2 linked regions of the Drosophila melanogaster genome follow. The gene in region 2 interacts genetically with the main gene of each other region. Each region holds a gene or a part of one and is shown on either strand. Other genes may lie near its edges. The genes, in order: Cyp6t3 and Hr4.

What was found.
Region 1: of Hr4 (region 2) and Cyp6t3, changing one suppresses a phenotype caused by changing the other (phenotypic suppression), as found in Drosophila melanogaster (one study listed by BioGRID).

What each region holds. Positions count from the first base shown.
Region 1 is NT_033778.4:12,188,631-12,192,954, reverse strand, and holds Cyp6t3 (cytochrome P450 6t3), read right to left. Parts: upstream 2,274-4,324; 5' UTR 2,269-2,273; coding exon 1,045-2,268; intron 984-1,044; coding exon 702-983; 3' UTR 519-701; downstream 1-518. Other genes in the region: CG8858 (uncharacterized protein), read left to right, coding at 1-382; Cyp6g2 (cytochrome P450 6g2), read left to right, coding at 2,593-3,864, 3,916-4,203. UniProt on the Drosophila melanogaster protein: May be involved in the metabolism of insect hormones and in the breakdown of synthetic insecticides.
Region 2 is NC_004354.4:1,939,995-1,945,087, reverse strand, and holds the start of Hr4 (hormone receptor 4), read right to left. Parts: upstream 3,149-5,093; 5' UTR 3,084-3,148; exon of another isoform or gene 2,662-3,083; 5' UTR 2,224-2,661; coding exon 2,195-2,223; intron 1-2,194. Other genes in the region: CG3587 (uncharacterized protein), read right to left, coding at 3,677-3,964, 4,032-4,378, 4,437-4,701. UniProt on the Drosophila melanogaster protein: Coordinates growth and maturation by mediating endocrine responses to the attainment of critical weight during larval development.

The sequences.
Region 1 (4,324 bases), on a different chromosome or scaffold from region 2:
CGAAAGACTTCATGTCTTTGATGAGTCTGCTCAAGTGCCGGATTTGACTCAGATAAACCAGGAGAAGAAGATCAAGACAGAGGAGACGGCGCCAAAAACCCGAGAGGCCATTGTCGAGAAGATATGCACAGATGTTTTGGCTGCAGTTGCTCTTGCCGCTGGAGTTCCTCATTCCGGTTTGAAAAAGGAGGCGCTCAACATCGTTCTTATGCTGATCAAGCGGCTGAGCGGAAGCGGAAACGGAAACCAGCAGCCACTGAGGTTGATCAAGCAGAGCTTTGAATCGAATTTGGAAAAGTTCCAGCGCGATTCGGCGCCGGAAATCCGGTGTCGCATCAAGGACATCGAAGACAAGCTAAGCAAGTTGAATCCACAGAATTAAGTCATATTAATATAAGCATTTCAAGGATGTGTGTGTGGCCAAAAAATCTGCCTTGGGTAGATTTTATAAAAGGGGGTAAGCGTTAAAAGAAAACATCTAACTTTGGCAAAAATGAATAAGTAACTTGCATGAAGATAATTTTCTATTGTGATTCATTGATCCAGGAGTGTAAGGAAACCTTAAATATACTATCATAAATACTTTCAGTTTCGTTTTAAGTTCAAATTTTAGGGAGCTATTTAGATTATCTATTCTATTTAGATTATAGGAACAAAGGTGATTACATATCACAGCCGATTGTTTTAGGATGCCTATAACTCTACAAACTACTCCTGCAGAATCTTAGGTATATCTCATTCTCAGACTCCAACATGAAGGACTTTGGATTAAAGCGAATCTCCGATACTGTTCGCTCGCAAGTCTCAACCCAATATTGCTTTAAAATGTGCACTATGCCCAGTTTCAATTGGAGTACGCCCAGGCGACTACCAATACAGCCATGTGGACCTGCTCCAAAGGGTATGTAGGTCATCGGGTGGATGTGCCTAGATCGCTCCGGACCGAATCTCTCGGGATCAAAGACGCAGGGCTCCGGCCAAAACTGGAATTTAGATTGACATAAGTAAGTTGGGATAATCATCACCTTTGGTTTTAAATCTAACCCTTTCATCGCGATGGAGGCCGAGTATTGAGATGTATGCTGGCATCCCTGGTGGCACTATGAAATCCACATGCGGTTGCAGTGAGAATCCCTCGGATGCCGAACTGGTGCACTCTCTGTTGACGAAAGCAGCAGCCGGATAGAGACGCAGTGCCTCCAAACACACCATTTTGAGATAGGGCAAAGTCATCAGTGTGTCATAGCTTAGGGTAGCAGTGGAGATGAAGGCTTCTCGTAGCTCACTCCTCAGTCGTTCTTGAATATCCGGAGCCTTGGCCAACTCATAGAGAGTGAATCCCATCAGGGCTGAGGAGGTTTCAAATCCGGCCAGCAGTATGATACCCGCCTGCGAAGCAACAAAGTCCGGATGCTGGGAATAGTGGTTGGATGAGCGGCTCAACTGAAAGTGCTGCAATTGATTGATGAGATCTCCTTTGGTGGGCTCGTGATGATCATCTACCAAGTGCCTCATATAGCGCGCATAGTCTTCGGTAAAAACTTTGGGCTTCAGCACACCCGTCCACTTGGGCAGAAAGAATACACTCATGAAGTCCAAAACCTTGCGGGGATTGGTGTTAAATAGCTCCTTGGTTTTTGTTATCAACTCGGATCGACCACGACGCAATCCGCCGACATTCAGGCTGTAGAAGAGATTCCCCGTCACGTCGGTGGTGTACAACTGGCACATTCTTCCCAACGGGAGAACGCGCTCCAGCCGATCCCCCAGCTTCCTGTTGAGGTACTGCTCCAAGTCGCTGGCCACATCCAACATTTGGCTGTACATGACATCCCGCATACGGCCGCTGGTGAAGAGCTGGGACATGCATTGCCGACTCTCCTTCCAGTGATGGTACTTAGCCAGCGGTAGCGTCAGTGCACCCATGGGATCTCCGGCGTCCGCCGATTCGAACCGGTTGAGAAAGTTGTTGAAATTCTTAATCAACACCTGGCGGATTAGCTCCGGATCCCGAACCATAAGCGCCGGCGTTTGGAATATGAAGAAGCCAACGATCTTCGCCTGACCATTTCGTGGATCTGCGTAGAGCTGCCGAAAGAGATCGCCAAAAGAAATGCGCAGAAATAGAAGTTGTCCCAAATTGCCCATTGGTGACCAAGAGGAGGGTGGCAGGTGCGGAATCCCACGGCTCCTGAAGTAATCGTACTTGTGCCTTAACCAAAAATTCAGAGTCACAATGGTGAGCAACAGCAGCCAGATGAGCAGCATGGTGTCTATAAGATATAAGATAGAATATTATAACTATGAAATATATACCAGCATTAGGTAAAGATAGCTAAGATCCAAAAAGTCGTTCTTTTGAATGAGGAGGAGACCTTGTTCACGACCGTCAAGAAATGCATTTCCATATGCATAAGTTGAACCTGACCCACTTAACATCTCGACAAGCACTTCCATTCACAAATAGATTCATTCATTGCACTCAGGATCATCTTGATGATCTCATAGTAGAGTTTCCGCTTACCCAAAGCTTTAACTCTATGGTGCTGGCAATATTTCAGCCAGTTGGACATTGGGTTTGGTGGCGTTAGCATGGAACTGGTACTGCTGATCCTCGTGGCATCCCTAATAGGGATTGCCTTTCTGGCGCTGCAGCAGCATTACTCCTATTGGCGGCGAATGGGAGTACGCGAAATCAGGCCCAAATGGATAGTGGGCAACCTGATGGGACTGCTCAACATGCGAATGAGTCCCGCGGAGTTCATATCGCAATTGTATAACCATCCCGATGCGGAGAACGAACCCTTCGTGGGCATCCATGTGTTCCACAAGCCGGCGCTGCTTTTGAGAGACCCCGAAATGGTGAGAAATATCCTGGTCAAGGACTTCGCTGGCTTCTCCAACCGGTACTCGAGCTCCGACCCCAAGGGCGACCCTTTGGGATCCCAGAACATATTCTTCCTGAAGAATCCCGCCTGGAAGGAGGTACGTTTGAAGCTATCGCCCTTCTTCACCGGCAATCGACTGAAGCAGATGTTTCCCCTGATCGAGGAGGTGGGCGCCAGCTTGGATGCCCATCTCCGCCAGCAGCCGCTGCACAACGAGCGGATGCGCTGCTTCGACTTGGAGGCCAAGGAGCTGTGTGCTCTCTACACCACGGATGTGATAGCCACGGTAGCGTACGGAGTGAGTGCCAACAGTTTCACGGATCCGAAGTGCGAGTTCCGCCGCCATGGACGTTCTGTGTTCGAGTTCAACCTGCTGCGTGCCGCGGAGTTCACTCTAGTGTTTTTCCTGCCCCACCTGGTCCCGTTCGTTAGATTCAAGGTGGTGCCGGCGGAGGCCACTCGTTTTCTGCGCAAGACCATCAACTATGTGATGTCGGAGCGGGAAAAATCCGGACAGAAGCGCAACGATCTCATCGACATTCTCATTGAGTTCCGTAGGAGCACGCAGCTGGCGAAGGCATCGGGTATCAAGGATCAATTTGTGTTCGAGGGCGACATCCTGGTCGCCCAGGCGGTACTCTTCTTCACCGCCGGCTTTGAGTCCTCCTCCTCGACCATGGCGTTCGCGATGTACGAGTTGGCCAAGGATACGGACGTACAGCAGCGCCTGCGGGAGGAGATCAAGGATGCACTGGTCGAAAGTGGAGGTCAGGTGACGCTGAAGATGATCGAGTCACTGGAGTTCATGCAAATGATTCTGCTGGAGGTGCTGCGCATGTATCCGCCACTGCCGTTTTTGGATCGCGAGTGCACTTCTGGGAGGGATTACTCGCTGGCTCCGTTCCACAAAAAGTTCGTGGTGCCCAAGGGCATGCCCGTTTATATACCCTGCTATGCCCTGCACATGGATCCCCAGGTGGGTTGAGATACATTTTGCATACATTACCCAACGACTACCCTTTTCCAGTACTTTCCTCAACCGCGAAAATTTCTGCCTGAAAGATTCTCGCCCGAGAATCGCAAGCTCCACACGCCCTACACCTACATGCCCTTCGGCCTGGGTCCGCATGGCTGCATCGGAGAACGTTTTGGATATCTCCAGGCGAAGGTGGGTCTGGTTAACCTGCTGCGCAACCACATGATAACCACCTCGGAGCGCACACCCCATCGCATGCAGCTGGATCCCAAGGCCATCATAACCCAAGCCAAGGGCGGCATCCACCTACGGCTGGTTCGCGATGCTTTGGGCGTCTAACTCACCTGAATATGGGATATGGGATAATCTGGATACTTCTTTCCTGGGTGGTGAGACTATGGAGCCTACAACAACTGAATGGAAACTAAGCAGCGGAGTCGCGTGTTTGGGGATTTAAAAT
Region 2 (5,093 bases):
AAGGGTAAATCCCTTCATTAAGCTTCCATTTCGACAACCCTGAATATTTGAAGCAGCTAAAGACAAACACCAAAACTGGAATCTACTTCGCACCGCAAGTGTGCCATTTAAGATGGCTTTCGGCATTTGACAGCTGTCAGAATTCGGGATGCGGGATTGAAAGCCATTGGTTTTCGGTTTCCCGGATTCCTGCCTGCATGGGCATTTCCCAATACATATGTACATACATATATTCCCATAATTGGGCGCCCAACGTACGTGTGATTGCGTTTGCGTTGCCCAAACCTTTGCCACCCCTGCCGTCCGTCTGTCTCTTTCGCGCACGGGTAAGCCATGTAAACGGGGGTTACATGACATTGAAACCGATTTTGAAGGTTTCAACGTTTGTGGCTCTGGACAGGGTAAGTTCTAACTGCTTCTCCAGAAATACCCGAAACGAAAAACATCAACAGAGCAACGAGAAAACAGACACAAAACCAGAATAAAGCATTGCCCCTTTTTTACGGTCTCTTCCTTGTTTCTTTGCTGTAATGGCGAAATATACACAAATTTTGGAATCACTCTGACGCCCTTGTCACTACATTTTTGGTCATTGACCTCGCACGAACACACAGATACAGCACTCGCACAAGAATTCCAGTGGCGTGCAAAGGGGATTCAAGTTTTGTGGTGCAGAGACCCCAAAAAGTCCAAAAAGCCCAGGAACCCCGAACCAAGAACCCTTTGAAGTTAGCCAGGTTTTGTTGCCTTTACTATTCCCGAGAATGTCCGAGCTGCGAGGACTCGTCCTGGGATCTAAAATCCCCTTAATCAACTGCCGCCTACTCCCCTGCGCCCAGGCACACATGTACATATAGCAATGTAGAGTCATTTGGGACTTGGTAACAAGCGGCAGTCGTAATGCGAAGAAGCAGGGAGCAGAAACAAAACAATGCCCAATGGCCCCAGTCCCCATTTCTGGATGCCACCCCCTCGCTTCCCGTGCCAAGCGGAGAGTCCCCAAGTTCTAGGCGTTGTTATCGTGCGTTTGCCAACCCACCCGCTACTCACACACACACACACACACACACACACAAGCACACACACATCGCAATCAGGAAGAAGAAACCAGCCAATAAATGGGTGGCACAAATGTCGCCGCACTTTCGATGCCCTTCCCACAAACAGGAGTCAGACACAACATAATTTTAAATAATTTTTGATAGCTTACAAATATTTCAAATACTTCGAAATACTTGTTTACAAAAATGTAACAAGAAAATTAAGAAGGTAGCTATTATAAACATACGCGAACAACCCTTTATTTGCGGTCGCGTTTTTTGCGTGTTTGGTTTATCGCAAATCGAACATCATTTCACATACAATATGGAAACTTGGCCAGAAAGGGCATCTGCAAGCCTTTAATATAATTGGGGTTTAGCGGCATTAAAATCGTAGTCATCGACATTCAGCATCAACGATTGTTTATCAATGTGTAAATAAGCAGCACTCGCATACATGCTTGTGTTCGTGTGCGTGTTTCGTATCTGTGTGTGAGTGCGTTCCCAAAAATTTCAATAGCAAAGGTCGATGAACTCGCCATCGGTAGCGTGAGAGAGAGAGAGCAAGAGACGTTTACGTTCATTGTTTTTGTTCCGCATTTCCATTTCCATTTTCTCTGGCCATTTCTCTCAGCTCTCTTTGCCTCTCTCTTTGGCTTTGAGTTTTGCGCGCGCTTCCTCGTTGCGTTTCATTCATAAACAGAGAGCGGCGAACTCGAGCTCGAACTTTTTTATTTCGAGATATCTCGGCCAGGCCAACGAACCGGCCAACATGTGCTTCTGCTGCTGCTGCTGCTCCACCTCCCACCCCTTTTGGTGAACTTTAAGGCGCGGTGACTAAGCCCAAGCGCCTCCTAAACTGCTGAACTTAAGCCCAGCTGGGCTCTATGGGGCTGTAGAACCCCGCAGCCGTAGGCCAATTATAATGCCATCACCCGGATTATTGGTCAGTGATTAAAGTGTTGCGCCATTTGGCGAAATGTACATGTTACTCGTATTTATGGCCAGAGCCTTGAATTCTAATTCTAACGGTCTGCACTATCTACATGATCTAATATGATCTAGTGTGGGAAACCTCCCTAGTCCTATCGATAATCCAAGCGAATGTATTTCGCACTTCTTAAATGCTAGAGAGAATCCTTAGTGGTACTCACTTCAATTGGTCCCGTTGCAGCGGTGTCATCTTTGAGGCATTCGGCTGACGCTTCTCTAGTGGCCAGCGTTTGCGAATACCGTTGATCCTGGAGCCGAAAGCGATACGGATATCGATAATGGTGGTGGCGGAACTGGGGCGATATCCATGCTCCGCGGGCAAGCGAGTATCCGACTACCGTTACAAGTTGATTGCTTGCGGTTGCTTTGAATCACTCTTCTTTTTTTTTTTTTTTTTTTTTTTTTTTTGTTACACACTCACAGCATTTGGCTTAAAACATTTCACTAGCAATTTAGTTGTTGTTCACATTAGTGTATTTGCATTCGTTTTGTTTTGTTTTGTTTTGGGGCTGTTGGCTGATGCAGGATTTCAAGATATGGAGGCTTCAAGATCAAGCAGCTGTTGATTTTTTTGCAGGACTCTTTAGTTAGATTTGCTTTATTTGGGTGGGTGGGGGTTAAACGTCAACTGCAACGGAACACACACATAAAAAATAGAATTAAAAAAATAGCGTCAGTGCCAAGGTGTCGTTATGCATTTTTTTTATATTTGCGCCGCACACACACACGCACGCACGCACACGTACACACACACACAAAACAAAAACAAGCCAATTTTCTGTTGGATCTTTGAAGATGCTTGCAAATTCTTGTTGTCAACAATTAAAAAAAAAATTTTCTTTGCATTTATTCATGTTGCACTTGTAAAATTGTCGCACACACACACAGTGCACCTTGCTGCTAGGGCGAGATAGAGAAAGTGGAGGCCCTTAAAATTTGTTTCACATATCCAATCTACGATGGTCAACAAAATCCTGGAGAGGCAACAAAAAAAACGTAAAAAAATAGTTATTTCGTTTTGTGTTATTATTTTATTTCTTGGGAACCCACAACGGAAATATCGTTTGATTTTCGAAGCGTTTGCTTTCCGCGCGCGACTAGCTCGTGGGATACACTGAACAATCCACCACCGACTGGCACCACCACTCCACTTGCCCCAATCTCGTGCTGCAGCGCTGCGTTGGAAGAGAGCGCCCGAAGAGCGCGCTCAAGAGAGGGTTCTCTTCGTTCCCGCTGCGCAAGAGAAAAGTTCGTTCACTGAACTTTTTTCGCTGTAAGTAGAGTAGATTTTATAGGCGAAGGAAAATATTTTTTAAATTCAAATGGAAATACGTAAATTTTTTTTTATTGATTTCATGTAGTTTTGAACTCACTTTGAACAAACAAAAATGTATTGTTTTCCTTACGAAATAATAAATAAGCAGAAAATGCACTGCAATTAAGTACGCCACAAGAACCCAGAAGAGTCAACTTAATTAATCCATAGTGATAATAATAATCAAAAACGATTTTCATATTAGTATTTAAGCTACATATTTTATTTGATTTCCACATTAAATTGTGTCAACATCAGCCCAAAAACATTATCCTGCTGCCCGAGGTAAGAACTTTATTTTAGCATTTGTCTTGTCGCAATCACAGTGCTAGCAGCCGATCGTGTTGGCATTGATGAACTGCACGAACAAGTGCGGCACCTGCTCCAGCGGAGTGGGTGACGTCTGGCTGGCGTGGCACGTGCTCGTGATGAACTTCTGGCGCAGGCGGTTCAGCTGGAGGGCATTCATCGAAGTGGCGACCTTCACGGGATTTCTGCTCCCTGGGATGCGCAGCTGGCCGAAGGCCTTGATCTTGACGGCGCCGAGGATCTCCTTGATGATCGCCTGCACGATTTTGTCCAGTTCGAACAGGTAGTTGGTTGTTCCCAGCGGTGCCTGCGGAATGGACAAAGCAGTTACTTGTGATATTTTGTCTTCAACTCTGGCCAAGCTCTACGCTTACATTATAAGTACTCTGGTTGGGTGGCAGTGGCTGGGACTCGTACAAGGCCTTGTAGATGGCCTCCATGTCGAGCGTGTCCTTGGGCAAGACTACCACCAGCGGACTGTCCCAACGGTTGTTGCTCTGCGGCTCCTCGTAGCGCTGGCACAGAGCATCAAAAGTCTCTCTGGTGTAGGGAACATCCGAGTTGTCCACCGGCTGAACTCTTTCACTGTCGCCAGGCAGTTCATCCGGCGCCGTTCTTTGGCTATTAAAGGTCCACGCCTCCTCCTGGGGTATGCAGGTAAACACAGTGCACTGGGTGGTCCTTGACACCTTGGACATGCAGTACAATTCGTAGCGGTAGCCTGGAAGAAATTTTGGTTGTGGTTTACGAACCTTAGCTGAACCTTGGTGAGAGCTCACCTTTGATGTAGTTCCCGGCGTCCAAGATGACCAGATCCTCCTGGTTAAGGTGACGCGAGGCTTCCGACTTAAGATCGCTACGTACCACCTTCTCCTTCTGCGAATCACCTGTATGGGAATTCTTTCCAAAACCCGCCTTGGGCACTGCCTCGTTTTCGCTGATTAGATGCACCTTCCTGCCGCGCTCCACGAAATGATCCCGTAGCTGGCGGGCACGTGTGCTCTTTCCGCTGGCTGGCAGGCCCGTAATCACCACGAGGGGCATGCTTCCTAATTAATAACAATAAATAAACAAAGTAGGTGTCGGAACGTTCCGCTCACAATGCACTCGGTTACCAACACTGGTGACAGTGTGCAAGATGAGCATCCATCTGGTTTCGAGCTAGATTTAGATATGTGCTTGCCTTTCACTTCTCATGATTAAAAATATTTGGCTATAAGTCCAGTGCAATTGTGATAAAAAAAAGTGGATAATCTTGTGTACCGTTATTTGTTGGGCCAGCCGATTGTTGCGTCTGAAATTAAAAATGTTGTCCTTAATTTCGTATTTTTCGCTTTTTAGCTATATTTCCACGACATCTGCGATGGTTATGTACATACCAGTGCTGCGAAACAATGTATTAGCGTTGACACCCACGAACGTGTTCAAACCGATTT